Linked DNA regions of Ovis aries. The protein of the gene in region 2 purifies or fractionates together with the protein of the main gene of each other region. This does not show direct contact. Links are inferred from orthologs where the notes say so. Each region holds a gene or a part of one and is shown on either strand. Other genes may lie near its edges.

Region 1 (15,799 bases), on a different chromosome or scaffold from region 2:
GGCACGCACTTTGGTGGGGTTCTGCCCCAGCCAGCGTAGCAGCTCCCCAGGGCTCCTCGCCTGTTCCAGAAGCCGCTGCAATCCCTGCACAGGGCCTGCATGGGGGCCTCCTCCAGGAGGCCGGTGGTCTCCCCATTTGTTGGGTCCCAGACAGCAAGGCTGTACTGGTGGGAGCAGCAGCAAGCCAGACAGACGAGCACTGGAGGCCTGGGCAGAGAGCAGGACTCGAAGCATGGAGTTGGGTGCTGGAGACCCTGAGGGGTGGCCCAAAAAAGGGAGTGAGGTATTCTCCAAAGGGGAGAAAGACCAACTCTCTGTTCCTCACCTCGCTCCCCATCCAGAGGAGTCTGGGGACAGAGCAACCCGTATTCTCTTCACCCTTCTTTGTGACTGCTCTGGTCCTCTTCCCCAACCCGCCCCTCTCTGACTCCTTCCAACCTTTGCGAGAGCAATCGGAATCCTTCAGAGTTCTCGCGGAGGATTTTTTACAGAGCAATTCCACATGCATCATCTCCTCCGATCCTCCTCTGACACGCCCGTGAGGAGGCAGGCAGGGGCTGGTACTATCTCGATTTCACAGGTGGAGAGACCAAGGCCCAGGGAGGCGAGGGGGTTAAGGCAAGCCCCGAGGTCCCGAATCTGGTTAGTGGTCGCGCCCAGCCTGGAACCCAGCTCGCCGGACAGATACGCTCCCCCCCACCCCCGACCACCTCCCCCTCCCGCAGGAGGCGGCGGCGGTACCGGAGGGTGGAGCGCGGGCTCCGTGGTCCTGGGTTCCATGCTGGGCGCTCCCACTTACCAGCTGCGTGACCTTGGACAAGTGGCTTCGGTCTCCCTGCCCAAGCCTTCTCGCCTGTGAAACGAGAACGCAGGGCCACCTCGGAGGGCGCCCGTGGAGCCCGCGGGCGCGGCCTGCGCTACGGCGCGGAGTCGGCGGTGTCAGGGGGGCCCCCACACACACCCCCACCCGCGGCCCGGGGGGAATGCCAGGAGACCGTGGTCGCGGTCGCCAACACCAACTCCCGCCGCCCTTCCCCGCGGCCCGCCCCGCAGGCGCCACCCCTACATGACTCCCCAGGCCCCGCGCAGGTCGCTCCCTCGGTCGGTCTCGGGGCCCGGGAGCCGGGCTCCCCCCGCGGCCTCCTCATCAGGGGGCCACCGAGTCCTCCATCTTCCCGGCAGCCCCCGAACAGCGCGGCCCGGACGCCAATCGCCGCGCCAAGTAGGTCCTCCGCCAGCAAAGACGTGGCTCCCGGCAGGCCCCGCGCGCCAGGGCGCCGCGCGCCCCGCCCCCTGCTTCCGGGAAGCTGCGCGCGCGCGGCGCCGGGCTGGGGCGGGACCAAAGGCCTGGGGCGGGGTAGGGGCGGGGTAGGGGCGGGGCCAAAGGGCTGGGGGATGAGATTGGGGTGCAGAGGGGAGTGAGCAGCGGTTGGCCTGGGCGGGCAGGGCAGGGTAGGGCGAAGCATCTGGCCCACCCCTTTTCTCCCAGTAGGGCAGAGCTCCCCGTAGCCCCCCTCCTCCACGACCCACACACGCAGACACTAGGCCAAGAGTGAAAACGTCACAGTTATTTAATCTGCACGTGTTCCAGAAAGCCCCCTCCACCCATCCCGACTCCCCTTCTCCAGCCCTTCCCAGTCCTCGGGCCCCCAAACCAGCCAAGGAGCGATCCGGGACTAAGAGGTGCCCAGGTCCTCAGGCTGAGCCCTTAAGGGCCCAGGGGCGTGGCCCCGCTCTGTCCAGGGCCAAGGCAACTACAGCAGCTGTCTGACTTGGGGTAGCCCACTGTCAGGGGGCGCTGAGGGCCAGCTGCCCCGGGAGGTGGCCCAGAGCCATGAAGGTCACAGGGAGGGGCTTCCGCCGCCCCTCGGAGTGCTCTGCCGCGCAGCGCTGGGCTCCAGGGTAGTGGGAAGAGGCAGGTCGGAGAGGCGGGCCTGGGCAGACAGCAGCTCCCACCTTGTCGTGGCGAGCAAGGTCCCGAGAGGCCGGTGGCGTGGCCAAGAGCCCGTGGAGGCACTACGGGCGGTACATGGCAAAGGCCAGGAGGCTGAGGAGCAGGGTGAAGCCGGCCAGACCCAGAGTGGCGGTCAGGGGAAAGAAGGGCCGGTACTGGATCTGGCAGTACCATAGCAGAAGCAGCAGCAGGAGGAGCAGGGGCAGCAGCAGGCTGCCTACTTCCAGCCCTGAGGGGCCTGGCTCGGACCCCGGTGGGCAGGGCGGGAGGGGGGGACCCACCCGTGTGGACACGTGGCAGTGGAGGACACAGTTGGGAGGGAGGTGAAGGCTGCCCAGGGTCTGGGTGTCGTCTCCTAGTAGCTGCCCTTGGTAGATGAGTCGCACGTGCTGTTCCCGGCCGGGAAACTGGGTCCTGAGGAGAGAGGGACCTGGGTAATAGAGCGAGTCTCAGGCACTCCTGGCCCCTGGTCCGGAACAACTCTCCTACCCTCACCTCTGGCCTCCACGGTGTGTGTGTGTGGGGCCCTTCTGCTTCAGGGGAGCAATACAGTGTGTGACTAGGGGCCTCAGTTTCCTCATCTATAAGAGGATCTCCGGGATCTCTGCTGGTCCTTCTAGGACTGTGATCATCCCCGCCCTACTCTTTAGCACTTCCTTCCTGTCATCCTCCCGGCTTACCTTTTCAGGGAGCCAATGGTGTCGTGGGGCCAGGCTCTGGCCACCTGCTCAGAATCGTTGAGGAATTTCAGCCGAAGTACGAGGGGCTCCTGGGGGGAGTCCGGAGGTGGCGGCGTTGCTGCGAGCCCCACTCCGGGTTCTGGTGGTGCCACCTGACCTCGGTGTCTCAGGCCGGGGGTCTCAGCTCCTGGGGCCTCCCCTCTGATGCTGTCCATGACCGCCATGGCTTCGCTGGGCTGCGTTGGTGTTGGGGTCCCTGACGGCTGGGGCAGTGGATCGGCGCCCTCGGCAGTGTGCGTTGAGACCCAGGCGAGAGCCAGCACCAGAAGGCAGGCAAGCACCGAGAAAAGGATGGTCACCTCATCACCTACCCCTTCGATCAGGGCCATGGCACCTGCCTTGCCTGCCACGCTACCGGGCTGGAGAGGCACAAAGAACCCATGAGGGGCTGACTCACCCACCAAGAGCCCTCTGAACTTCAGGGGGCCCCTGACCCCATCCAACCACAACTCTCCCACAGTCCTCATTCCGCCCAGTTATCCCAGCCCTACCCTGGGACATACACTGCTCTGACACCTGGCCACCCCAAACTTGCCCTACATACCCCTTCCCAACACCAAATCACAAGTCCTAATTTTCTGTAACCTAAATTTCAGGTCTTTAAGCAGTTCCACAATTCACCCAAACCCTATTCCGAAGTCAGAGCTTTGACTTTCTAAGCAACCTCTCCCTTAAATTCAGCCCCTACCAAACCACCCCAAAGCTTACCTATTCTCCCCATTTAGGTCATCTCAAAGTTTATCTACTCCTTTGCCTATTTCACGGCAAAGCCTATCTATTAATACTGCTCCATCGCTAAAGTTTCTCCAAGGGGGTAGAAAAAAGGTCTCTACGCACACGCACAACGCCCCCTTACCATTCAGCCAACCCCCACCCGCAGCACAGGACAGCTTCCCAAGGCTTCCCCACGCCAAATGTCAAACTGCTTCCCTTTGGCAAACTGGAACCTCCGAGGGTTCCCACCCACAACCCTAACCCCTACCCCAACTCGGCCCCCCTGGTCCACTCAAACCCCACCCAAGGCGTCCCGACCCCGCGCCTCCCCTGGGAAACCTCTCCAAACCCAGCCTGCTGCAAGACCCCGGATCTCGCCCGGGAACCCAAGACTTTGCCCTCCCCACCTCCATCCTCCACCACCCTTCGCATCTTCCCGCCGCCCGCCCCCACACCCCGAGTGGCTGGCGGGCGCGGGAGATCCCGGGGCGGGGCCAGCCGGGCCAGCTGCTAGGGCAGCGGGGTGATGCGGCCACGGCGCAGGGACTCACCGCCAGGCTCCGCCAGCTCCATAGCGGACCCTCGGGCACTTCCGGGAGGGAGGTGGCGAGGTCGCAGACACCTGGAGGCACCCCCTCCTTCCCCGCCGCCGCCGCCCGGAGCATTGTGGGTCTTGTAGTCTGGAAGGATGCGCAGTCCAGCGTTCTGCGCTGCGGACCCACGTGCGGAGTTCAGCCGCCTGCGCCGAGCCCCCGCAGATCGCTGAGGGGCTGGCGGCGGCGGCTTTGAGGTTGTGCTCGCCCGCAGAGGTTCGGGGCGAAGTAGGGGACAGCAGGATCCTCTCCCTCACCCGCGGGCAGCCAGGATGTGTATCACATCAGAAACCAACGTCAGCTGGTTTCTGGCTAAGTCTGTCATATCACCCCCCCGCCCCACCCGGGGTTTGATGATGCAGTCTTTGGGGAGCGCAGGTGGACCCTACGCCGGCCTACTCTTAAGTCAGAGTGGACCCTCCACGTTGACTCTTCAGCCCAGAGCCCAGTATCCACGGGCTGCCCGCTCCCCTCCCTGCCCCCAAGGCTGGCTGAGGAGATGGGTCTTCAGGGCTGGCCATGGGAGGCTTCAGTTCAGTTCAGTCGCTCAGTCGTATCCGACTCTGCGACCCCATGGACTGCAGCACACCAGGTCTCCCTGTCCATCACCAACTCCCGGAGTTTACCCACTCATGTCCATTGAGTCGGTGATGCCATCCAGCCATCTCATCCTCTGGGGGGCTTGGGGCTGCCTTATTTACCTGGCTCCTCATCCACTGGGCTCCTGTAAGACTGTGAGGAGCATAGACTTTGGAACATGGCAAAAAATTCTGACCCATTATCCTGTGCTTATCAACTATATGACCTTGAGTGCATTATTGAATCTATATGAACCTAAATTTCTTCGTTCTTAAAACTTACCTCAGAAGACAATTGTAATGGGCGAAGTTTGGTGTTTTATTAAAGAAGTGTGAAAACTGTAGAGGGGATCTGTCACACAGTAGATATTTATTCACTTAGAACGCTTCCTCCCCTGAAATTTGGGCTCAGAAATTGGATCCTTAAGAGTATTGTTGTACAGGCGATGTTGAGCCTCATGTGGCCTGAGCCAAGTTAATTTCTATAGGTTTTCCCTCCTTCCTTTGGGCTCCTATAGCCACAAACTTTATAGGTCAGTCTTGATTAAAAGTAATGTACCCTGGTGCCCTGATAGCCTATGCCTACTTATGGGAGCAAACACTCCAGATGTTGCCTTGGGACTGTCAGTTTAGACTTACAACGTACAGAACTATTAATAACTTATCTCTAGTTCCTTCCCATTTATCCAGTTATTCTAGAAGTATTCATTAAATGTATAGCATGTGCTGGGCGCTGGTTCAGACTCTGGGAATACAATGGCGAATCAGACTGTATCCCTGCCCTCATGTAGCTAATGTACTAATAGAGGACACAGACAATTGGCCCACTAGTGCTAAAACAGGCATGTGCCAACTGCTGGGGCAACACTTTTGAGGGGCTCTTTACCTTCAGCATCTCTCCTGGGAGGTACCTACTGCAACTTCTTGCTTTCAGTTCTAATTAAGCATCTAAAATACATGTTGGGTACTGCTTTTAGACTTACAGAATATTAGGCTAGGTGATCTGTTCAACCACTAATTTTTTTTTCAGATGAAACCCAAAGAGGGTGAAAGACATTCTTCAGAACAAGCAGGTAGGTAGGACCCACACCTCTCTGGAGCTTGGGAAGCCCCAAGGTGTTGATTAGCTTGCACTAGGTTCTTTGGAAGGTCCAAGATACTTAGAAAGGTGACCAGGTTGGTACTGGGGTCAAGTGGTGTGGGTAGCTTAAATGGTGGGCCACTTTACGCTGGGAAAATACCCAGCTTGGGTATTTTGGAAGTGGAAGTGTATGTAAAAAGGATAGTATCTGTCAACTGTGCCAGAGGACATGGGGGTAGAGTCCTGGCAGGCTGATTGGCCGGGACCTGGGTTCTGCACAAGCCACCTCTTATGGAGTTTAGGAAAAGCCGGGGGGAAAGGGGTGGCTAGTGAATCTGCATTCAGCTTTAGCAATGAGGATGCAGAGGAACTAGGACATTGAAGGGGGCTTCCTGGCCCTGGGAGTGGACAGGAACACAGGATGGACAAAGGAGAGAAAACAAGGAAAACTGAGGCCACCATGTGGACCCTGGTGAGTGTCTTAAATGGGGTGAGTGGGGGAAGAAGGCATAATATTTGATTATTTTCTTCCTTCCCCTTTCCAGGGAGGTCCAGCAGCACTCACTGAATCCTACACCAGTCCGGCAGTGGGGATCTTTTAGGAGAGGCTGGAAGATAAGAGCGAGGACATTGTTGTTTCAAGTGTCATTTTCAAGGGCCCCACAGATGAAGGTCTCAGGAAGAACTGGAAATAGAAACCAGGGACCCAGATTCCCAGCCTCGGTGCCCGCAGCCGGCAATGGAAAGTCCAGGGAGGGCCTGAGAAAGAACCCTGAGTTGGCGTGGTCTCTAGCGGTGACCTCGGGGCCCAGGGACAGGGGAGCCTTTGCCGCACGGATGGCAGGACAGTGTAGGCGAGGCGCAATTGTGTCCGGGGCGGCGACCCTCCTCGGCCCACCAGCCGCGTTCATCAGCATCCCGGCACTGCCTGGAGAACAGACACTCCACCCAGACCAGCGCAGGGGGGCGAAAGCGACAGCTGGGGCCGCGAGGCGGGCAGGGCAGCTGTCCCCTCCAAGCGAGTGGCCCTCGCAGCGGGTGTGGTGGGGGCTGGAAAGGAGGCGGAAGGGCCCAGGCTGGGTGGGAGGGGCCGGCCGCCGGGGCCGAGCGCGCGCCTCGGGGGTGGAGGCTGCTTCTCCAGCCAGCTAGAGAGGGGCGGGGGCGTTGGGGCCCGCGCGCTGGAGGGGCGGGGGCGGCGGGGAGGGGGGCTCGGGCTGCGTGTGCCGGAGCCGGCGGGGGCGGTGGTGCGTGCGCATGACGCGGCGGGGAGGGCCCGGGCCGCGCGCTCCCGGTCCCGTTGTTGTTGCCGCTGGAGGCGGCTTCCAGGCAGCGGGATCGCGGCGCCGGGGAGCGCCCGGCAGCAGCGGCCCCAGCGTGCGCGGCGGCGCCTCCTGGCCTCTGCCCCCAGCCCTCGGCCCCATGCACTAGCCTCGCGCCGCCCGCTCCGTAGTCCGGGCCCCGCCAGCCCCGCGCGCCCGCCCGCCGCCGCCGCCGCCGCAGCGCCGCCCCGGGCCCCGGCCGGGCCCGCCTCGGGCCCCGCGGCTCCGGAGCCATGAACTTCCAGGCGGGCGGGGGACAGAGCCCGCAGCAGCAGCCGAGCCTGGCGGCGCCGGGAGGCAGCGGCGGCGGCGGCGCGGGGGGCGGCGGGCAGTTCGGCGGCGCAGGGCCGGGGGCCGGGGGCGGCGGCGGCCCCTCGCAGCAGCTGGCCGGCGGGCCCCCCCAGCAGTTCGCGCTCTCCAACTCGGCGGCTATCCGGGCCGAGATCCAGCGCTTCGAGTCCGTGCATCCCAATATCTACGCCATCTACGACCTGATCGAGCGCATCGAGGACCTGGCGCTGCAGAATCAGATCCGGGAGCACGTCATCTCCATCGAGGGTGAGCGGAGCCGGGGGCTGCGGGAGCCGGGGCGCGGTGGCCTCTCCGGCCCCGGCCGGGGGCTTCGCCGGCCTGTTCTGGCCACGCTTTCCCGGTCTGGGGGGTCCTTGCGCGCCTGAGGTCGGGGCCACGCGGTTTGCCGATCGCTGGCGCTGCAGAGCCGGCGGCCAGGCTTCGCCATTTCTCGTCTGGCGACACTTTGGGGCTGGGGGGCAGGTCCCGTGCCGGGGGACACGTTTTCTGATCTGCGGGCTCCAGGCTGTGAGGGTGGCGTCGCTGCGGGGACGGGTGCGCTGGGAGCCGCGGAGGTTCCGGGGCCCTGGGGCCCGGTCTGGTCGGGCATGGCCCAGGAGGGTGGGCGCGGCGGAGGGCCTCGGCGGGCCAGGAGGTGGGGCAGCTGCCGGAGAGGCGTCTCAGCTGCCGCCCCGGCCCTGCCCGCCTCGCAGCGGTGAATCGGAGCCTGCCGTTAGTGGATGGCAGCATTCCCGGGCCCGGCGCCCGCGGGCCCCGGAGGGTGGCGCTCCACGAGGCCCTCTCTGCCTACGCAGACCCCGCACGCCGCGGCGGCCGGGAGCGGGGCAGGCCTGGCGCGGGGCTGGGTCACCGGGGGCCGCGTGAGAGGCCTCTGCCGGGCCAGTGTCGCCTTCGCTGGGTCCAACGCGCGCCGGACACCCGCCGCTGCTCTCCAGGGAGCGGCTCCAGAGGCGAGCTGGGGGCTCCTGGGCGCTGACCGACCTCCAGGGACTCGGGTGCCAGGCGTCGGAAACTGGAACCGTGGGCCACTTAGTTACCCAGCGCTCCTTTCTCCAGGCTCTCAGGCCTGCACTTGGCAGCTGAGGGGCAGAGGAAGTGGGGGCACGCTGCTGGCAGATGTGCCAGGACCCCTGGTGTAGTGGGGACAGACAGCATCGGCAGCACCCCGCACTTCGGCGGCATGGTGACCTTTGAGCGCCCGTGGGGCAGATGGACCTGGGCCTGGGCCATCTGCTTCCTCCTCCTGCTCCTTTCCCTTTGAATGCGGTCGCCCCCCAGCAGGTGGTGGGTTCAGAAATGCCGGGAAAGGGCAGGGCCTTTTGCTGAGGACCTGGAGTTGATGGGAAGGGGCCTGTCCACTACTGGGGTCTCACAGGAAGGCCCCACTGGCGTCTTTCTTTGTGTGAGGCTCTTGGGGTGGAGTGTCCTTCCCCTGAAAAACCCCTGTCTGCTTTTAGGGGTCCCCATGGCTGAGGAAGGAGTCGTTGGCTTTTTTTGGAGGGGGGTAGGGGACCTCGTTTAGAGCTGGAGTTCCGCTCTGTTCTCGACATGGTCCCCTCTGACTTCTTGCTGTCCCTTGCCCAGCCCTTGCTCATCCCTCTCCAGGCTGAGTTCACTGTGAACTAATTAGGTGACAGGAAAAAAAAAAAAAAAAACCTCATTAGCTTGGATCTGAGTAAATGGCCTGAATCATCGGTGTGGCTGGGGACCAGGAGGTGGCATATGTGTGAGCCAGGGGCCCCCGAAAGAGAGGAGATGACCAATTTTTCCTCCCCAGTCTGAAGAGGAGAGCCGCCATTCCCTGTGGCTTCCCGCTTTCCCCCAGAGGAAGTAAGTTCCATCAGTGCCCAGATGCCTCCCTCACCCACCCCCCGCCCCCCACAGACCCTTTTGGAGGGGGAAGAGGCTTGGTGGGACAGCCATGGGGGGGGTGTGGAGGAAGGCAGGCTGAGCGGGGAGAGGCAGGGTCTCGGCTGGACACCACCTCTAACTTCCGATTCCTTAAGAGCAATCACCCACACCCCCTCCCCAGCTCAGGAGGTCTCTGGCCAAGCATCTTCTGTGATGTGCAAGCCAGCATTCTTGGGCCACACTTGGGTGTTCACCCCCGTCCTGAATCCAACACGACAGGCAGAATTTCCCCCTCTAGCGCCCACCCCCGTGACCAACTTCCCCACTGCGGTTTGGAAGTACCCTGCGTTCCGTCTACCACGCCTGGAAGCTCCGTGTCACCATCTCGGATTCTGGGACCTGGTGTCTCATTGTCACCAGGCCCAGCTGCTCCTCACACATCCGCTCGCAGCTCTCCTAGTCTCTACTTCCCTGCTTTTTCTTGGCGAGGCCACCTCCCTCTTTCCTCCGTCCCCCCCCCCTTTTTTTTGGCCAACCTCTCTCCTGGAACCCATCTTGATTCTCCACCTCACCCCTGCTTTCCCACTTCTGTCGCCCTAGCTTTTCCACTGTAGGCAGGCATCAAAAAGAAAAAAAAAAAGCCCAGAAAACTCCTTCTCCGATTTCTGCCCTATATCCTTCCTTTCGCCATCTGCCAAACCATATTGCTGCTGTCCTGCAAACAGCATCCCTGCCTCCCCAGCGGAGGGTGGGGTGGGGGGCAGCTTCACAGGCGGGGCGTTTCCCTGCTCACCCTAGGAGCCTGACGAGCTCCCCCCTCAACCCTCTGCCAGGGCCCCCGCAGACCTGGGTCGAGAGGCTGTTACATAAACACATCCATCACCAGGGAGGCCGATCCTATGTTTGCTAGACGTGAGCCTCTTAGTGGCGAGGGATGACATTTCCCTCGTGTGGAGTAAGCCTCACTCGGTGGTGCTTTGGTGAAGGGCATTCATCCTAACCCTGGAGGTGACCGGCGAGGTGTGGTCAGGGGTCCCTTTGGGACTGAGAAGGCTCAGTGGCACCCTGTCCTCCTGCCCTCTCTCAGCCCCTCTGAACCCTGTGGCCAGAGCAGGAAGAAGCAGAGGAACTCTGAGCTTTCCTGTGTTTCAGGACAGGATCTGGAGGGAGGGAGTTCCTTTTCCCTCCAAGGGCAAGGAAAGAGAGAACCTGTCCACTGTTAGGCCTTACGGAATGTATGAGGGTATCATCAAGAGCCAGGATGGAGGGGGAGACAGCTCACCGCCTGAGGAGTCTCTGAGCCACCCTCGCCGCCCTGGTTGGGGCATTGAGGCTCGGAGGAGTAAGGGACGTGATGGTGTGCCCCGTGTCCTAGAAAGAGGGCCTCAGAGGATCCAGGTCCAGATGGGGACAACCTAGGCACGTGGGACCCAGGTGTGCTGGGCCATGTGAGCTGGGAGCTGGGATGAGCTGTTGGGAAAGGCCGCCCTTGGGGTCCCCGCGGGTGGCCTGGAAAGGCAGGCTTGTCCCTGAGTAGCCCTGAACTCAGAGAGGTCTGCCCCGGGGTGACACACAGCCAGGAATCAGACCGTGGTCCTGGGCAGCTTTTCGTCAACTGGTTAACTTGTTCCTATGGCCCTTGGTGTTCCTGCAAGTTTTTTTTTTTTTTTTTGAGATGTTTTAACTTAGTTTAGTTTAAAAGCATGTTTTATCAATGTAACTTGTCTACAGTGTGCAAAAAAGGGCTCATCGCTCAGTCATGTCCGACCCTTGGTGACCCCATGGACTGTTGCCTGCCAGGCTCCTCTGCCCATGGGATTCTCCAGGCCAGAATACTGGAGTAGGTGGCCATTCCCTTCTCCAGGGGATCTTCCCGACCCAGGGATGGAGTGCGGGTCTCCTGCCTTGGAGGCAGATTCTTTACCATCTGAGCCACCTAAGGAAACCCCTATTGTAAAATAAAACTTCAGGAAAGTGAAGCCTCCAGCTGGTGAGCTGGGACACAGGAGTGTGGTCCTGCTGGAGAGCTGGCTTGGGGAGTGGCCCCCAGGATTGCCCCAGTCCTCAAGCTGCGAGGCCACCATGAAGAGGGAGAGAGTGAGGAGCCTGGCCTCTGCTGGGTCCAGGCCTGCCTTCTTCCAGGGGCTTTTAAGCAGTGAAATTCCTTGGTCGGGGCAGCACATGGCTGTCCTGTTACTCACTGAGGCATTGTCTGCCTACCTCCATGGGCTCTGGGCTTGGTAACATTCTAAAGGGACTCAGATAGAAAGAGGTGCGGGTGTTCCTGGTTCAAATCCAGGCTAAGGTGAGAAGGTGGCCCGGAACTGTGGGCAGGGCGGTCAGAGCCTCTGCAGCTGCAGGTCTCCCCAGAGCTGTAGATTCTGTCCCTTGTTTCCTCTCCTGTGACCAGATCCCAGCAAGAGCCCTGTGATGTGGAGAGAAGCATTGGGTCCATTCTGGAGACAGAAAAGCTCTGTCCTGAGCTGATTCCCTTCTCCTGCTCCTGGGGATAGGCATTCCCCAACCTGCTGATAACACGAGCCCGCGGGGCTTGCTGCCTTCAAGAGATCTCACTTGGTGGGTTTGGGATGGGGGCCCAGGGTGTGTAACATCCCCAGGGCCATTGTGGTAATTAGCTGCTTTGGGGAATGCATGCCTCTTGGGGGACCGGTTATTGAGGACTTTGCACTAAAGAGCTCTAGGAATTCTCAAAAAGAGGATATTGGTGTGGGTGCCAGGGGCCAGGGAAAGCTGCATCTGTTCCAGATACGTGTATTAGCTCCTGCAATGTGGCCCAGTTGCATCTAGCACTGCGGAGAGCAGGAGGGGAGGGCGGGGCAGAGCCAGCACTCTGGACACTGAAGGTGAATGGATCAGCCCTTAGCAGGTCCCAGAGCGGGGCCTGGGAGTGGCAAGAGTAAAGCCCAAGTTTTAAGAAAAGCAGGGCGAAGATGAGAGGCTGGGAAAGGCTTGTCAAGACCCCAAGCCTGCAGGAACTCGGTGGGGGGGAGCCTGGAGATGCCCCCCCACCCCCAACCATTTAGTCCTCCTTCACTGCGTTCCAGCTCTCTGCCAGATTTGCAAGACAGTCCGTGTTCCTAAACATACCCATGGCTGGCATGTACCGTAGCTTGCTTCTGCCATTTATTTATGCATTTATTTGTTTTTGGCTGTACCAAACATGTGAGACTTTGGTTCCTTCACCAGGGATCGAACCCACGCCGCCTGCAGTGGAAGCTGGAGTCTTAACCACTGGACTGCCAGGGAAGTCCCTACCATTTACTTCTTTAATTGAATGTGTGTGCCAGGCACGGGGTCTGGGAGATGCTCCGTGCAGGGGGAGCAGGTGTGCAAAGGTAGCAAGGGATGGGGCTCAAGGAGCCGCAGGCTGGTCTGCGTGCCTGAGCACTGAGTCCACAGGGGAAGGACCCTGGTGCAGGAGTTTTGAACGTTTTATCCTGTATAAATTCATTTACAGCTCACCTTGTTCCAGGAATCCACTCAAGGTGGCACGTAAGCCTGCAGGAGATGGGCAGTCACTGGAGGGTTGAAGCAGGAGCTGTCTGGTTGAAGCAGGCAGGTGTTATCTGAAAGCAGGTTGGGACTTCCCTGGTGTCTCCGATGGTAAAGAATCTGCCTGCAATGCTGGAGACCTGGGTTCAATCCCTGGGTTGGGAAGATGCCCTGGAGAGGGAAATGTCCACCCACTCCAGTATTCTTGCCTGGAGAAGCCCCATGGACAGAAAAAGAGGCCACAAAAGAGTCGAGCATGACCGAGCGATTAACTCTTTCCCTCCTCACTCGCATTTGAGAATGAACTCTCCATTTGGTGCCGGCTGGAGCAGAGGGCACAGGGCCACAGGGAAACCAGGCGGGAGAATTGGATGAATGAGCTCTTAGTGTCCATGCCGTGCATTTGGCCATGAGCCCTTCCGCGCCGCTGTCAGCGGGCCTCTGATCTCAGAACCTCAGAAATGGAGGGAGGAAGGAGACCCTAGCCTGGGGGAGCTGAGGCTGAAGGGGGCCGACCCAGGGCCCTGTGAACCTAGGGGCCTGTTCAGCGTTGCCTGAACACCTACCCAGGACCCTTTGGCTTGCCCCCATTCTCTGCAGGTAACTCGATTAAACAGAGAATAGGGGTTTTGTTGAAGCAGTTGCATTCTTCCTGTCATCTAGCCAGCTTCCGCCACACAGGCCAAGGGCACGGGGCAGCTGGTTTGGCCCAGGGAGCTAAGCTCTGGGGTTATGGAAGTGGGAAGGAGAGGTGACCCGAATCACCTGCTTTGAGGTGTGGACCTTGGGCTATGTGGTGTCCCACCAGTGAATATTCCTCGCCTGCCTGCTGGAGATTGTCATTAGGCCTCTGCCCTTGCAGTCTTCTCGGGTATGTGCATATCATTCCCATTTTGCAAATGAGATCGCCTAGGACCTAGAAGGTGTCCCTGATGGCTCAGAGGGTAAAGTGTCTGCCTGCAATGTGGGAGACCCCAGGTTCAATCCCTGTGTCCGGAAGATCCCCTGGAGAAGGAAATGGCAACCCACTCCAGTATTCTTGTCTGATGAATCCCATGGATGGAGGAGCCTGGTAGCCTACAGGTACAGTCCAAGTCACATCCCCAAGACCGCCCAGGGACTCTGCCTGGTTTTCCAGTTCCAGGCCTAGGGCTCTTCCTCTCACATGGATGGACTGATTGAGCTCTGCTGGGCCAGGCTGACATACAGTCAGCTGTGCTGGGTACTTCTCAGGCAAGCTTTTGACCTGGAGTTTCACTTTTGGAAGCTTTTGAGTACAACTTAAGGGCTATTCAGAGCTCTTCTCTCCTGCTATAGTTTTCTTCTGGATGTCTTGTATGCCCGGATGAATGATGCCTTTTGGAGGGGGGCTCTCCCTTCTGGGAGCAGCATGGATACTGCACGTGGTAGAAAAGATGCTCAGTCAGGAAACACTCCAAAATATTTGAACATCTAAAAAATATAAATATATGTTTAAACGGGGAAAATAACGCCTGCTTGTTAGAACACATTCCAGTGTGATAGGAAGTAGAAACACCCCACCCCTCCCGAGGGCACCTGCTGTCTGTCTGATGGGTATCTCCGATCTGCCTCCCTCCCGTATCTATCTACTATATCTAATTACTCCACGATCAATGATATTATTGCCATTTCATAGCAGAAGTGGGACTCTGGAAAATACTCCACCGGGGAGAAGGGAAACCAGAGCCGCAGATTCATGAAAGGCCTCTGTGTTCAAGCACCCGTCTGGCAGCTCCCCGTTGGGGAATCCAGAGACCTGGGATCTTCTTCCTATTCTGCAGCTGACTGGCTGCGAGAATTCAGGCCCCCAAACCTCTCTCCCCACCGTGGCCTGTCCTCCTGATTGTGGTCCTAGCCTGTGGGCCATCCGGGTCTTGGATTCCTGCTCCACGGAGGACAGATTCCATTCAGTGTGAGGTTCTGAGCTTGCCTACCTTGCACTGTGTATGACGCACACTGCCTGGCACAGAGCGAGTGCCCGGTGCGGGCTCGTGGTGATCTGAGAGGCTGCGTGGTGCCCAGGGCAGGGCTATGCAATCAAGCCAAGTCTGCTGGTGCCTAAATCTTTGCACACTGAGATCTTTACACACCTAGATCTGTTTATTCCCTTTGGACAGATTCCCAGAAGGAAGAAAATGGTAGGGCCATTGGGCTCGCACGACCTTCTGGGGACTTTGGCCATACATGCTACAGTACCCCGCAGGCAAACCCTTCCTGTTTTCTGGGGCAGAGACTCCCTGTTCCTGCCCGTACCCCGTCCCTGTGAAAGGAGAAGAGAAAGGATGAAAGGATTTTGTGTGTATTTGATTACTAGTGAGAGTTAAGATTCAACAATGGTTTTTTGATCACTGTATTTTGTTGAATTTCGTTCATATCCGTTATTCGTCTTCCCCGTGGTTTGTTACTCTTTTGCTTAACACGTGTTGTCGTTTAGTCGCTCAGTCGTGTTTGACTCTTTGCAAATCCGTGGACTACAGCACGCCAGGTTTCCCTGTCCTTCACTATCTTCCAGAGCTTGCTCAAAGCCATCTCCATTGAGTCAGTGATGCCATCCAGCCATCTCCTCCTCTGTTGCCTCTTCTGTGCCTTCAGTCTCTCCCAGCATCAGGGTCTTTTCCAGTGAGTCGCTCTTTGCATCAGATGGCCAAAGTATTGGAGCTTCAGCATCAGTCCTTCCAATGAACAGTCAGGGTTGATCTCCTTTAGGATTGGCTGGTTTGACCTTGCAGTCCAAGGGACTCTCAAGAGTCTTCTCCAGCACCACAGTTCAAAAGCATCAATTATTTGGTGCTTAACCTTCTTTATGGTTCAACTCTCACATCCATACATGACTACTGGAAAAACCAGAGCTTTGACTAAACGGACCTTTGTTGGCACAATGATGTCTCTGCTTTTAATACGTGTGGGACAGTTTTAATCTCTGAATTCAGAGCAGGCATACGTTGCTGGAGGTGAGCTGCGGTCTGGGTCTCTCTGGCGGCCCTCTGACCCTCCTGGGCCCTGGGCACCAAGATGAGTGAGCTCACACCACGTGGTTCCAGAGGGACATGCCTTTGCTGTTTTCGTGCCTGTTTATAGTGTGTATTTTCTTTCTCTTTCTTGTTTGTCAGCGCCCCTCCTTGC
Region 2 (13,994 bases):
GATGGACCCCAAACCACCTAAGGCAGGCTGAGCATTCCCAGAGCCACTGGGGACAGTCTCCCTGACCCCTGAGGGCTCCAGCCAGGTCACACCCAGCTGGCTTGGACAGCCAGGGATAGAGGCCGTCAGCTGCCCAGGGCTCAGGAGCCGACTTCCGAGGGCGTATCCACTAGATCGGTGGATGCAGGGCTGGGCCTGCCCCCCCCAGTGGTCTGAGGGACTGCATCAGACCCTGGAGAGTTGCTTGTAGGGGCACTGTCCTGGGGGCCCCGTAGGAGCCCCCCACTGGGGCTCAGGGGGCTGCCTGGCCGCTGGTCCAGGAGAGAGGCGCTCAGGCCAGACAGGAAGGAGGCATCTGTGATGATGGCAGCTGTCTCTGCCATCCAACCCAGGTCACCACTGGCTGCTGCAGCCACTGAGGCCGCTGCGGCCACCAGGGAGCTAGGTGCCTCAGCCACGGGCCCGGGGCCCCCACCAGCACCTGGCAAGCCAGGGCCCAGGGCAGGGGACTGGCTGGCAGCGTCGGGGGTGATAGGTGGGATGCCTCCATTATTGTTCAGGTCATCTGGCAGGGCCGTGGGGGTTCCGGGGCCCAGTGGTGGTGTCTGCAGCAGCATCTCCTGGACACGGATCTGCTGCAGGATGGCGGGTAGTTCGTAGTGGTGGAAGAAGTAGATCATGGAATGCTGGGGGGGCAGGCACCGTGTCAGGCGAGGGACCCCCAACAGGCTGGACCCTCGGGCCACCAGTCGCAAGGAATGCCCACCTCACCTGGATGAAGAGCCAGGAGGTGACGAGTGCCAGGCTGCTGTACTGCCCATTGAAGCGATAGTGGTAGGCGTAGAAGGCAAAGTGGTACAGGTAGAAGAACCTGCAAGGGGAACAGTGAGGTGCTGCCCACCCAGCTGCCTCCACCCCAGACCACACGGCCCCCGGTGCCCACCGAAGCCAGTGCCGCTTGCTGGTGTTGGTGTGGCAGCAGATGGCATCATACTGGTCAGCCAGCCACACGATGAGGATGATGTAGAAGGCTGTGGTGGTGTCGTTGAAGAACTCAGACATGATTGCCTCCATTCCTGGTGGGGGGAGACAGGAGCCCCCAGTTGAGGTGGGTGGCCAGCATGCCAGGGAAGGGGGCAGGGTGTGGGGGCACAGGGTCCTCACCCACGAGGGCCAGGATGACGGTCAGCAGGGGCGCTGCGGGGAAGGCGATGGCCATGTTCATCTCCAGCATCTGCAGCAGGTCCACTGCGGGAGAGGGCACCGGGCGGGCAGACCGGGTGAGGCGCCCGGAAGGGGGGAGGGGCAGGGGAGGTGGCCAGAGGGGATACTCACCAATGAAGACGAAGATCTGGTGGTGAGAGTAGCGCAGCAACATGGACACACTCAGGGTCTGCAAGTGGGCCACCATGAGGCCTTGGATGGCTGCCCTGCTCCTCCAGCCCCACCCTGCCCCTCCCCACCCTGCTTGAGGCACTCACAAAGATGACCATGATGACGAAGGCAGCCAGGTAGGACGTGCGGGCCATCCACATGCTCACAAAGCGGTAGTGCTCCCCAGACACCACATTCCTCAGGAAGCCTGCATGAGGGGTGGAGCGGAAGAGGCAGTGAGCAAGCGCCCCAGCCCAAGCCCCACCTAAGCAGGCCCCGCCTTCGCCCCGCACCTTTGTTCTCCTCATTCTCTGCCAGGCCCTTCACGCTGGACATGAGGATGTCATCATAGCCCAGGAACTCGGCCAGCAGCAGGCGGCTGAAACGGTCACCAAAGCACTGGTCCCGCGTGGGATCTGTGGGCAGGACCGGGACAGCGATGTTAGTCCAGGGACACAGAACTCCACTGCCCGGCAGAGCTGTGACTGACACGTGTGGAGGAATGGAGCCCTGGGAAGTTTCCTGCAATTGGGCAGCAAGGGCAACCCTGAGACCTTGGACACAAGTGCTTCCGGGTCACCCCTCCCTGAGGAAGATACCCAAGATTGAGGAGGAAGGAGGTCCCTCCCCTGGGCCTTGCTCTGCTCGGCAGGGGCACTCACCCAGTGTGACCACCATGACGGGGATGCTGAGCCGCTGGCGTGTGGCCTGTGACAACCTCAGGAAGCCGTACTCCAGCGAGTACTCCACGATGTACTCGTCTTGCGGCCAGGCTGCATGCAGGGACAGCTGGTCAGTAAAGGAGCCCTCTCCTGGGAGGTCTGGGGGGACTGTACCACACCCCCACCTCCATCACTGGACGTAGCCCCAGGGAGTGGTGGTACCTTTTGGGGGCGTCTCAGGGAATGGGAACTCCTGGCTGTCATTTAAGGCCTCGGGGCCACCTGGTGGCTTGAACACCTTGGGCTCGATGTCCAGCTCAAACTGCACAGTGGGAAGCAGAGGTCAGCAGGCCCTTGGTACCTAAGGCTTGGCCTGAAGGTCTCTACCCGCCTCCAATGGAAGGAGATGTACCCCGACCCATGAAAGCCCTAACTCCAACACTGAGCTCCGAGATTTCTGGGTGAGGGTCTGAGGGACAGGATCAGCGACATGGGGCCTCCTGCTGGTCTGTACCAGCGCTCCACCCACACCCACCTCTGGCCACCTGAGCACAGCCCTCCCTCTAGGCTTCCCATCCTGTGGGCAGCCACAGCACCAAGGATAGCCAGAACCACCTCAGGGCTCTGAGCCCAAAGCCTGCTTCTCAGCCTGTCTGCCCTCAGCACCCTAGAACCAGGCCTTCAGTAAACAGCTGGGAAACGGCCCAGCAGGTCAGGAGTGTCCCCTGCAGCCCTAACCACGTCCCGGCTGCTCACCTTGATGGAGCTGTTCCCGAACATGTCCATGGTCAGCTCCTCCTCCTCGTCCTCCTCTAGCTCCAGGCCATCTGGCTCCACGGCCAGGCCGGGGAAGCTGCCATGGCCACCATCGCAGAACTGCAGGAAGACGGGCGCGCGGCTCGAGTTGTGCTGCACCTCTACCCGCAGGATGCCCTCACGGGGCCACTTGTCACGCACGTGCTCCAGGCAGTTGATAGGTGATCGGGAGAAGACGATGTGGATGTAGGCCAGAACAAAGAGCACGAACAGGGCCTGCAGGGCAGGGAGCGGTCAGCGGGGAGCTGCCTGGGACCCGCCCCCCGAAATGAGGACCCTTCCTAGTACAGGCCTCCACAGCTGTAGAGCCTCTCACAGGCCAGCCTGCACCGAGGCCAGAGATGTGGCCACAGGCTCAGTGTCTCTGGGAATCCCAAGCACCTCTCCACAACGTGTATGGGGACCTGTGAGCTGACGACGGGAGTCAGGAAAGCGTGGGGCCTACGGTGGCAGCAGGCTGCAGTCAGAGCTGACCCATAGCCCCAGCTGTGTTCTCTGGGCCCCAGTGTCCAGCAGGAGCCATGTCCAGGACACCATTCATCCTCGGCCATGAGGACAACACTGCACCACATGCAGAGACGTCACAGAAAGTGCTGACATGCAGGTGGCACGATGCCAGGGGCTGCCTGAGCTCGTCTCTGCAAGGCACATGCCTGCCATCATCTCCAGTTTGCAGACAGGAAACCAAGGCACAGGCCACACAGCCAGGAGGGGGTGGAGCCAGGAGTTAAACCTGGAGGAAACACCAGGCAGGGTAGCTAGGTTCTGAGAGGGGCATATGGATAGATGGGGTACCCGTGACCTCAGAGTGGCCAAGTCCCCACTGTCACCCTGGAGTCCCTTCCAGCGCCCCTCACAGCCCCCCCTACCATGAACTGAAACCCCAGGTACGGTCCATCACCCTGACCAGCTGGGTGGGTGCCTAGAGACAGGCCAAGACTCTCGCCCCACTGGACAAGGCCTGCCCCTGAGCTGGACCTGGTTCCCCACAGCCTCCCTGGAACAAGCTGGCAAACAGCGGCCTCCTAAGACCCTATCGGCAGACACAGCCGGCGGCCCCGCCCACCAGGCGGCCCCGCCCCCTTATCCCTCTCAGCATTTCAGGAATCCATCCAAGGCCTTTTCTGTCCTCTGCCTGGCAGCTGGCCTGGCCATATCACAGGCCCTGGGTACTCTAGCCCCCAACCTCTGGTACCCCGTGACTGAACACTCCACCTCACTGGCCACGCTGTCCCACCAGCTCCAGGACCTTTGCACACGCCATCCCTGCACCCACCTCCTTCCTCCCAGCCTGAGGTCATCTGCTCTGACTTGGACCCTGCCCTGGTAGCTGCTGCCTCTTCCCCATTCCTCCCGGTCAGTCACTCATCTCTGGTCCCAAAGACTGGCACAAGGTGGCAGGGGGCACGTGGTGGCAGGGAGCAAGGGAGGGGGGGAACCAGTTCTGCAGGTGGGAGCAGAACAGGTGCCATAGGAAGAGGCGACCAAGTGAGGTGGGGAGGGAAACTTGATCTCCAACAAGAGTCCAGAAGCTAGGCAGCTGGAAAGCAAAGAAGGGAGCTTTCTGGAACTCAGGCAGCCTCACAGATTGACTAGCTCAGCCTTCACTTTGCAAAGGAGGGAAACCAAAAGCACCAGGGGTCAGGGAGGGACCTGAGAATTGAGGGGGGCCTTCTGGCCGCAGCGCCATGGAGAGAAAAGATGTAGGGAGCTAAGGGTGGCCTGATTCCACGGGCCCCCACACCAGGGGCACAGCCTGGATGTGCAGCCTGTCTGTGCAGCTGGCCCAATCCCTGACTTGCTCCTTGGTCCCAATTGGGAAGCAAGCAGAAAGACAAAGCCAAGGCCTCAGGCTGGACTCTCAGGAAGGCTGAGCTCCGTGGGGGCCCACCTCACACAGGGCACTCACTCCCTCTGGTGACACGGGCTCCTCCTGAGGGTGCAGGTAGGCCAGGACTTTCTTCCAGGAGGCAACCACGCCCACACCCGGCCTTCTGCCCACTCTCAAGCTGCTCATGGCTCCCACGCACCAGGTAAGGGAAGCCCTACTGAGGAACACTCCAGAGTCCAGGCCCCCGGGGAGGACACCTGCTGCCGCTCAGGACCTGAGAGGCTCAGTGGGGACCCACTCCCAGGTCTGTAGGACAGCCCTGCACACGCCCCTGCTACCCAACCCCAAGAGCTGAGGGCTCCCAACCTCGCTGGCCCGTCCCCACCTGCTTCAGACCCCTTTCTGTGGACAAGGAATTCAAGCTCCCTCCTAAGTCGGCAACCATGGTCCCAGCCCCCACCCAGGGGGCCCCCCAGGACAGGACAGGACACAAACAAGAACAGCCATTTCTCCATTTCCTCAGACCCGCCAGACAGCCGGGGTCCGGCACCCAGCGGCTCCCTCCCTGATTAAGACCCCTCCTTGGAGGGACCCGCGCCGGCCCTCCAGGAACCGCCGAACCGCCCGCACAGCCAAGGGAGGACGAGGGGCGGGTCCGCGAGACGCCCCTCACCGAGCCACCAGCGGCACCGCTGGCTGGGGCTCTGCCAGAAACGCTGGTGACGTGACCTCGGCCTGGTCACCTTCCCCCAGAAGGGGTAGAATCTGAGTTGGAGCAGAAGAGCTCCAGGAGGCCAGCCCCAAGAAAAAGGGGGAGAGAAAAGTGGGGCGCAGCTTCCGGTGCAGGTGGGCGGTCCGGGGGTGTGTCCAAAGAGGCGGCAGTGGCGTTGGGCCCGGAATCCCCGGGTATGCGGTTCGCGGCGAGATCAGGCTCAGTAGTGGGGACGGGGTCATCCCGGGATGAAGATCCCAGGCGACAGGGTCGAGGGTCGCGGGACTGGGCTATGGTCTCCCGAGGTGGGGACGCGGGGAAAGGCGAGGCCAGCGGTGGGGTGCGGCCTGGAGGGGCTCGGAGTGAGTTCCTGGAATCGGGATCAGGGGGCCACTAACTCGGGGAGGTTAGGGCCTTGCCGGGTGGAAGTTTCTGGGAAGGGTGGCGGGGGTGGCAGGCTTAAGGAAAGGGTCACAACCGGCCCCGCCGGGTCTATGCCTCTGTCCCGGGCGGAGTCAGAGGTCGAAACTCAGGGGTAGGGGGGGTCCATCCGCTAGGGTTAAGGGTTGGGGCTGCGGTCACCTTGAGCAACACGAAAAACTCGAAGAGTCGACGGAAGGCGGGCGGGAAGAGGCGCGAGTAGGTGACAGCCATCTTGAAGAAGAGCGCGTGGAAAAGCCGGTCGCGCACGTTGATGAGAGGATTGGGGTTGAGGTTGGGGGTGCGAGGCCCGCGCGCGGGGGCCGGGCCGCCGCCGCCGCCGCCACCACCACCGCCACCACCGCCGTTGGGCCCAGGCCCCGGGGCCCCGGGTGCCGCGTGCTCCGACATGCCGCCCAGCGTAGCACCCTAACGGCCCGCGGCTCCCCGAGGACGCCTCCTGGCCGCCATCGGCAGGCTTCGCCGCCGCCGCGCTGCTTACAGCCGCCCGGCCGCCGCCGCCATCTTCCGCCTCCGCACCCCAGCTGACGCCAGCGAGTCGCCGCGAAGGCTAGAGCGGCCTCCTTGCGCTGGCGGTGCACGCTGGGAAGCCGGCGGTCGGCCCGCGGTTGCTCCGCCTTCTGGAGTCTCAGCCGGCTCGCGAGCGCCGAGGGGCGGGGCTGCGTCTGGCCCGGGTCTTTCGCCTATTGCCCCTACTAGCCTCCACCGCTGCAACTCGAGCGTCAAAATTAGTCAATATCTGAAGCGTTTAGAAGTGATAAAATATACTGAAAGGAAATACGACTGTTGGAGCTGTTTTCTACTTTGGACTCTAGAAAACTATACTGAAAATAGGCTCACAGTAGAGTGTTCTGGCTGAAAAATGATTTGATTTGCGGTCTTTAAATTACGTCCCCAGAAAACCTGTGTGGAATTCTTTAGGCCGGGGCCGCTGTTCCCCTAAGCAGACTAACCTGATGCGCCGTGACGTCATAAAGGCCCGTGACGTTGCAGGGTCTAGCTTAAGTACCACCTCCCCATTCTGAAGATCAGCCCTGGGATTTCTTTGGAAGGAATGATGCTAAAGCTGAAACTCCAGTACTTTGGCCACCTCATGCGAAGAGTTGACTCATTGGAAAAGACTCTGATGCTGCGAGGGATTGGGGGCAGGAGGAGAAGGGGACGACAGAGGATGAGATGGCTCGATGGCATCACTGACTCGATGGACGTGAGTCTGAGTGAACCCCGGGAGTTGGTGATGCACACACAGGGAGGCCTGGCGTGCGGCGATTCATGGGGTCGCAAAGAGTCAGACACCACTGAGCGACTGAACTAAACTGAACCCCCATCTCGCGGAGGTCGGTGACTGGAAGAACTAACGGACCTCTCTCCCTCTGTCTGCACTTGGTGGCGGTCCGGGGGATTTTAGGGGTCCAGAAGAGGCTAAGTGAACTGCTTTTGCCCAACCTTCCAGCCTTCGGTCCGTTCCCGACTTTTGGTTGTTCATTCGCTCAGTCGTGTTTGACTCTGCGACCTCATGGACTGCAGCACGCCAGGCTTCCCTCTCCTTCACAATCTCCAGAAATTTGCCCAAACTCGTGTCCACTGAGTCGGTGATGCCATCCAACCGTCTCATCCTGACTAGGTTTTCCTTTTGAGAACGCGGGCCGCTCAGCACCACCCATCTCTCTCCGGCTCTTAGGGCGCCAGACCCGCCGTTCCAGTCTTTCCAGGACGGCTGAGCGGACAGCCCTTTGTCAACTAAAGCGGGATCGCAGATGGTCTATACCTGACCATGCCCTCCTTGTTGACTGCCACCAGTTGCCCACTTGAGATGTCCCAGACCTGGGAGCCCACATATGGACTACAGACATGCTCATTCATTCATCTTTGAAAAGCCTGAGCACCTCCTAGCAGCCATGGTAGTAACAGAATCCAACATTCACTAAGCACCTACTGTATGCCAAGTACAGTACTTCCACCCTGTGCTCCAAAGCAAGAATGGGTGGGCTGCAGCAGGGAGCATCGAAGGGCAGGAGGAGCCAGAGGCTGGGTGTGGGAGAGGACACCTGAGTACAGACGTTGGGGAAGGACACCCAGGGAACAATAAGAAGGGACAGTCAGGGCCTCTGAGAAACCAGGGTGTGAGGTAGGCATGGCGGGGAAGAGACTTTTCAGCTGTTCTAGAGCCTCAGAGAACTTTCCAGACCTACCCGCCTGGCTTCATAATCCGGTGAGCCCCACTTCCTTGAGGTGGACAGGAAGCTAAGGTCATCCCATCTGTTCCTCTTTCATAGAGAATGCCCTGTATGGGAGCCTAGCATACAGTGGCTGCTCAACCAATGCACATTTTTGATATTGTTACAGGTCACCCCCAGATCATTTACTGGTCACAAAAGGAGAACACAAGCTCCTCTTTTATAATGGTGAGGCCAGTCGATGTACCCTTGATCTGGGGAGAAAACCCAGCCACTCAGTGGGGGTGAGTGGGGGTGCTGTGGGTCCCTGAAATGTGCAGCGAGGTCTAATGAGTTAGCCATATGTGACTCCTAAGTTCTGGAAATGTGGTCAGTGCAGCTGAGGAATGGGATTTTAAACTTTATTTTCATTGAGGTAATTTGTATTGAAGTAGGGCCGTGTGGCAAGTGACTTCTGTACAGGCAATCCCCATCTAGCACTTACTTCCACGTTAGAGAGACACTCGACCCAGGGGAGCAAATGAAAGTTACTGTCACAAAAAAGGAAAATGGAGGGAAACAGTTCTAAATCTAATACAAAGATACGGAGAAGGGCCAGGCTCCGCACTTCTGGGGACAGTCGGCGATTTTATTTTACTTTATTTTATTCTTTTTTAATTGGAGGATAACTGTTTTACAACGTGGTGGTGGCTTCTGCTTTTTTTGGTTTGGGTTCATCTTCTGTTGGGGACTTCAGGAGATGGCTGGATCTCACAGAACACTGTGAGTGTCAGTTGGGACCTGTCTGGGATGTGTGAGTGGCACTGGGGCTGGGAGCCCTGGTTACGGCTTACTGAGAAGGTTCTAGAAGGCAGACAGTGAACAAGCCAGGTGGAAGCTCTGAGGCAAGCCTGTGGCTGATTATTGGAGGCAGAGCGAGGAGAAGCCCCATGCCTCTGGAACACAATGAGCTAGGGAGACCTGGGGACCTGGAGGACACCTTTGTTGAGGGGTGATAGGGAGCCTGGCGGATTGTGGGCAGGGAGATGCTGACCTGAGTTAGCAGGCTTGTCATTTTACTGTGACTATCATTGTTTTCTTGTTACTGCATCATTTGGCACATAGGATCCCCGGGGTCTTATGCAAAGCCCAGAAGGCCCTCACCGCACCTGCAGCCCCTGTGCCCACCCACCCAGACCCTGGGGCCCAGCACCCAAGGCTGAGGCTCCAGGGTTTCCTACAACTCCAAGTCCTCCAGCCGTGGCCCCCTTCCCAGAGTACCTGAATCTGTCCTCAGTGAGTCTGCATCACTCCACAGCCCTCCTTACCCCCACAGTGTCCCCAGGGTCAGTCCTGGATGGAGAGATGGGCGCCAGCGTTCAAGGCTGTAGGGCAACTGCAGAGGCCCCAGGCCTCTTGGCCAGGTTCCGAGGCTGAGCCAAAATTCCTGAGATTTTGACATGCCCTTATCTCAGCTGACCGGGAATTTGAACCCAGGTGGGGCCCACTGAGGTTGTAAGATTACACAGAACCACATAGTTCTGTAAGCCTCAGGTCCTGGGGGAGTTTCTCAAATTATAATATTCTAAGCTTTTGGAACCTCAGGGTTTTGAATTCTCAGATATCTGATCTGAATTTCTGGGTTTCAGGAGGCTAAGAATATAGTGTGTTCTCAGTCATTCAGTTGTGTCTGACTCCTTGCTATCCCATGGGCTATAGCCCACAAGGCTGGCTCCAGCCTCCTTCCCACTACTACCAGCCCCCACAGTGCCCTGGTCCTGCTCCCTGTGGAATCTGCAAGGAGTCCACCAGTACAGCCCCCACCCAAACAACTCCCCACCTAGACACTGAGAAACCACCCTGTTCCCATACTCAGCCGCACTGTCTGGTTGACCACTGGTCCCTATTTCACAGATAATGAAACTGAGATCCAGATGGGAAGGGACTCACCCAAGATCACCCAGCTAGGACTCGAGCCCTGAAGAAAGGAGCCTTCACATAGAATAGGAGATGCATAGTCAGGGAAAGAGTCAATAGACATCGAGAAAGTGGGGTACTGGGGAGGGGTGTTCCTGGGAAGGGCAGGGTGAGTAATCTCTAAGCCCTCACAGATCACTTGTCAAATATTTCAAACTCCTACTTATGCTTCAAAACCCCACTTCCCATGCCCTCTCTTACATGCCTCTTTCCTTTACCCCTTCAGGGGAGCACCCACTCCCTCCTGGGGTTCCTCCACCCCAGACACCTCTCTCTGTCCTGTACCTGCTGACATGGGGCGGGAGTGTCTATGCCAGGGTCTGTTTTCTCAGGGATGGGCAGGGCCAGAGCCAGGAGGGAGCCAGTATAGCCTAGCAAGGGATTGGCCCAGTGGCCCCGTCATTGAGCTTTTGATGAAGAAGTAAATAGTTGTGCGAATGAATGTTACTGAAAAAGTGAAATTTATCCCTTTATTAATTTATTGATTTATCTGTACAAGCAGGCAGCATGTATTGAGTGCCAAGTGTGTGCCTGGCTTAGTTCCCTTGGCGTCCTCAACTCTACCCCCAAGATATCTCCTGATTTCAACTCTCTGCTGTTCCATCTCCTCCCCATTCCCACCATTCCCCAACCCAGAATCTAGGGTCTCCTCTCATCCCCCACTTCCCCAACCTATCTGATTGATCTCTGCACACTTTCAACCACTGATGGTCCCTCCAAGTCTTGGCACTTTTTGTTCTGCCAGGACAAACAATACCCTTTGGACTGGCAAACTCCTACTCTTCCATCAAAGTCCCAGCGCCAGTGGCCCCCTCCGCTGAAGAGCCTGTCCTAGTTCCCTTGCCTACCACCCAGCTAGGAGGGTTTCCAGAAGCGGACCTAGACTGGGAGGCGCCTCTAAGCATCAGATGAGGGTCCCTCTTCCCCGCATTAGTGTCCAAAGGGAATTAGGGTCTCATTCAACCATTTTCCCCCTCCCATCATTATGTAGAAAGGTTAGTTGAGGCCCAGAAAGCATGGGGAGAGGCCCCCGGGGGCTCCCAGCATTGAGTAGGAGAGGGTGCCAGGTCTCCGTGGTGCGGGGACCCGTCCCTCCCGGCCTCAGTCTCCCGGGGGTTCCGAGGGGGCGGGGCGGGGGTCGGGCGGTTCAGGGGCTCAGGAAGCCCGAGGCCTCAGGAATCCGGCGCGGCGCAGCCATATAAGGACATGTGCGCCCCGCGCCAATCAGCGGTGGGGGCGGGGCCCTGGGTCCGCGTCCCCTGTCCGCTCGCCCGCCAGCCCGGCCGTCGGTCCGTCCGTCCCGTCCCGCGGCGCCGCTCCCGCCAGCCATGAGCTCCACGCAGTTCAACAAGGGGCCTTCGTACGGGCTCTCGGCCGAGGTCAAGAACCGGGTGAGTGAGGGGAGCGCCCTCTCTGCCAGCCCAGCCCGTCACACCCTCCGCGGTTGCAGAACGGGCGCCCCGCTGGCCTCCCTGGGCATCGGGGGCGGCCCTCCTCCCCCGAAGTTCCGAGGGTGCCTCCGATGCTTCCTAAACTCTGGGGAAACAGTGAGGTCTGTGCTCTGGCACCCCACCCCCCAACATCTAGGAGCGGTTGGGTCCAACCCCTTACCCAGCCCTGCTCCCTCAGCCTCTACTCATCTGAAGCCCTCTGCCCACCGCTCTGAACCCCCCAGCCCTGGGCCCCTCTAGCGCTTCAAGGCCTGAGAAGGTCCTGAGGGAACCCCAGCGGCCCCTTTTCATCCCCTCCCCCACTTCTGCTTTTGGACCACTTAAAGCTTCGGGGAAGGAAGGGGGCGGGCCAGGTGTTTTTGAGAAGGGTGTGGCCCCCCAAAAGAATTTACCGACTTCTTACACCTGGGAGGTGGGGCACTGGGTGGGTGAGGGGAGTTGGAATCGAGAGGGCCTACCTTCCCCATTCTCTTTATCACCATCTGACACACTTAAAGAAATAGCGAAGAGGTCCACCAGTCCCCTGAATGTGACCCTAGCATGTGGGTTTTGTAACTTGAAAATGCGGGCTAGGGCGTGGGGGGGTGGGGCACACTTCTTTTTCAGAAAGTGCTTTTGGTTCCAGCCCAAGAGGGCAGAGACTTCTGCAAGGTAACACAGCAGGTTCAGCGCATCCAAGGAAACAGGAGCATAGAATGATCTCTGCCCAGGAGGGCAGGGGGAGAGGTCCTAAGCCCAACACACAAGGGTTTTCCAGCTTGAGGGGAGTTTGTCATCTTTGTCCACCCCCTAGGCACACACTGTCACCAGGCACCTGGGAATGTGGCCCCAGGGAGGAGCCTGCCTGGGCACACTGGGGACACAGCCCTGCTGGCCCCCAGGTCACTACTAGGTCAAGAGACCAGAGGGAGAATTTACACATCTCAACTCTGTGAGCTACTAGGAACCTCCCTCCAGCCCATTTGGGAAGCCCAGGGTCCGAGCATGGTCACCTGGCAAGCTCCCCATCGATTCTCCCTTGAACACACAATTCCACACTCCAGCAGTAATGCCTTGGTGGGTGCAGAGTGTTGATAGTCCCCACCCAGCCAAGACCCTCTAAGATTCCTCCTTAGCACATGGGGTTCAGAGACATCGCTCAGACGGCCCAGACCCACCTAGCAGATCAGAGGCAGGGTCAGGACTCGAACCCAGACCTGGCATAGGTAGTGTCCGATGGCCAGCAGTCCTCCTGGGCAGCCAGGCATCTCCCCCGAAGCAGCAGGAAGTGGGTTGAGGGCACAGCACCCCAGCGGGGTGGGGGCAGCTTCCTGCGATGGAGTGGGATGGAGGCAGGTCGTTACCTGCCCTGTGGAGGATGAGGTCAGAAGCTCCTTGTAACCAGCCCTCAGTCTGCAGGCCTGGAGAATGGGCGGGGCCCCCACCCCCACACCGGAGTCACCTCAGGGACCCACCTGAATTGGAAACCAGCTTCCTGTGGTTTCTAGACCGTCCACTTTGAGAGGAGGAAGACCCCCTGCCCCCTACCCCAGGCTTCAGTCCCACTGCTGGATGGCATACAGGCAGGCTGAGGTCCAGTGCATACCCTTGAGATCTCTGGCTGACTGGGGGGTCTGGACCGCTGGGAACAGCTGGTCCTGATTTAGCAGGGAGGCAGCGGCTGCATTCCTGGCAGTTTGCGGTGGGGAGGAATGCGCTGAAGGCCAGCTGGGCAGCAGGGTGGAAGGCGGCCTAGCGGGTGGGGCCCCGCCAGGCACCCCTGCGTGGGACCCTCCCTGGCCCCAGCCCCAGTGAGCTGTCGAGGATGAGGATGGGGCCCAGCTGGGCAGGCAGGCCAGAGGTCCAGACCAGCCTGCCTGCTTCAAGTTCAGTGATCCTAATAACCCCCCCTCCTCCCCCACCACCCTTCTGCTGGGCGTGGGAACCAGAGACAGGAGAGGGAGGAGATCCGAGGAGGGAGTGGGCTAAACAGATCAGGTTCACAGGCCAGCCTCCCGCCTTTGTCTCCCCTGTACTCTGAGCAGCTCAAGCCTGATCCCATGTCTAGGGGTTTATATGCAGGAAGCAGGAAGTGGAGCCCAGGTCTGGAAAGCCTTAGGAAGACCATTCAAACATAGCTGGGAAGACAGAGGCATGAGGTGAAACCTGTTCATGGTCATTGAGGTGGGAGCTGCAAGGGCAACTCTGAGTCCTTGTCCCTAGGGGGTGTGGAGGAGAGTGCGCGGTGGGCACAGGGTGAGTAGAGGTGAAGAGGGGTCTGGGGTTGGGGCTTCCCAGGTGGTGCAAGTGGTAAAGAACCTGCCTGCCAATGCAAGAGACATAAAAGATGCAGGTTCGATCTCTGGGTTGGGAAGATCCCCTAGAGGAGAGCACTCCAGTATTCTTGCCTGGAGAATCCCGTGGACAGAGGAGCCTGGTGGGCTATGGTTCATGGGGTCGCAAAGAGTTGGACACAACTGAAGCGACTGAGCACACACGCACGGGGTCTGGGCAGAAGCCCACCCAGCTGGGCAGCCAGGTCCTCAGGTTTTTACCACCCCTCCAGGGAGCTGCCCTGGGGCTGTACACACACAC

Evidence for each region.
Region 1: the proteins of TMEM259 (region 2) and TMUB1 purify together in Homo sapiens (affinity purification with mass spectrometry; 3 studies listed by BioGRID, with this or other methods). This does not show direct contact. The link is inferred for Ovis aries from reciprocal best matches to the Homo sapiens genes TMEM259 and TMUB1.

What each region holds. Positions count from the first base shown.
Region 1 is NC_056057.1:115,272,613-115,288,411, forward strand, and holds TMUB1 (transmembrane and ubiquitin-like domain-containing protein 1), read right to left. Parts: upstream 4,003-15,799; 5' UTR 3,162-4,002; coding exon 2,635-3,161; intron 2,369-2,634; coding exon 2,017-2,368; 3' UTR 1,554-2,016; downstream 1-1,553. Other genes in the region: FASTK (fas-activated serine/threonine kinase), read right to left, coding at 1-254, 800-853, 1,067-1,148. UniProt on the Homo sapiens protein: Involved in sterol-regulated ubiquitination and degradation of HMG-CoA reductase HMGCR. Involved in positive regulation of AMPA-selective glutamate receptor GRIA2 recycling to the cell surface.
Region 2 is NC_056058.1:41,200,164-41,214,157, forward strand, and holds the start of TMEM259 (membralin), read right to left. Parts: upstream 6,363-13,994; 5' UTR 6,227-6,362; coding exon 5,978-6,226; intron 3,069-5,977; coding exon 2,793-3,068; intron 2,359-2,792; coding exon 2,259-2,358; intron 2,148-2,258; coding exon 2,037-2,147; intron 1,791-2,036; coding exon 1,668-1,790; intron 1,583-1,667; coding exon 1,482-1,582; intron 1,394-1,481; coding exon 1,336-1,393; intron 1,249-1,335; coding exon 1,165-1,248; intron 1,077-1,164; coding exon 944-1,076; intron 872-943; coding exon 772-871; intron 687-771; coding exon 141-686; 3' UTR 1-140. Other genes in the region: CNN2 (calponin-2), read left to right, coding at 11,298-11,360. UniProt on the Homo sapiens protein: May have a role in the ERAD pathway required for clearance of misfolded proteins in the endoplasmic reticulum (ER). Promotes survival of motor neurons, probably by protecting against ER stress.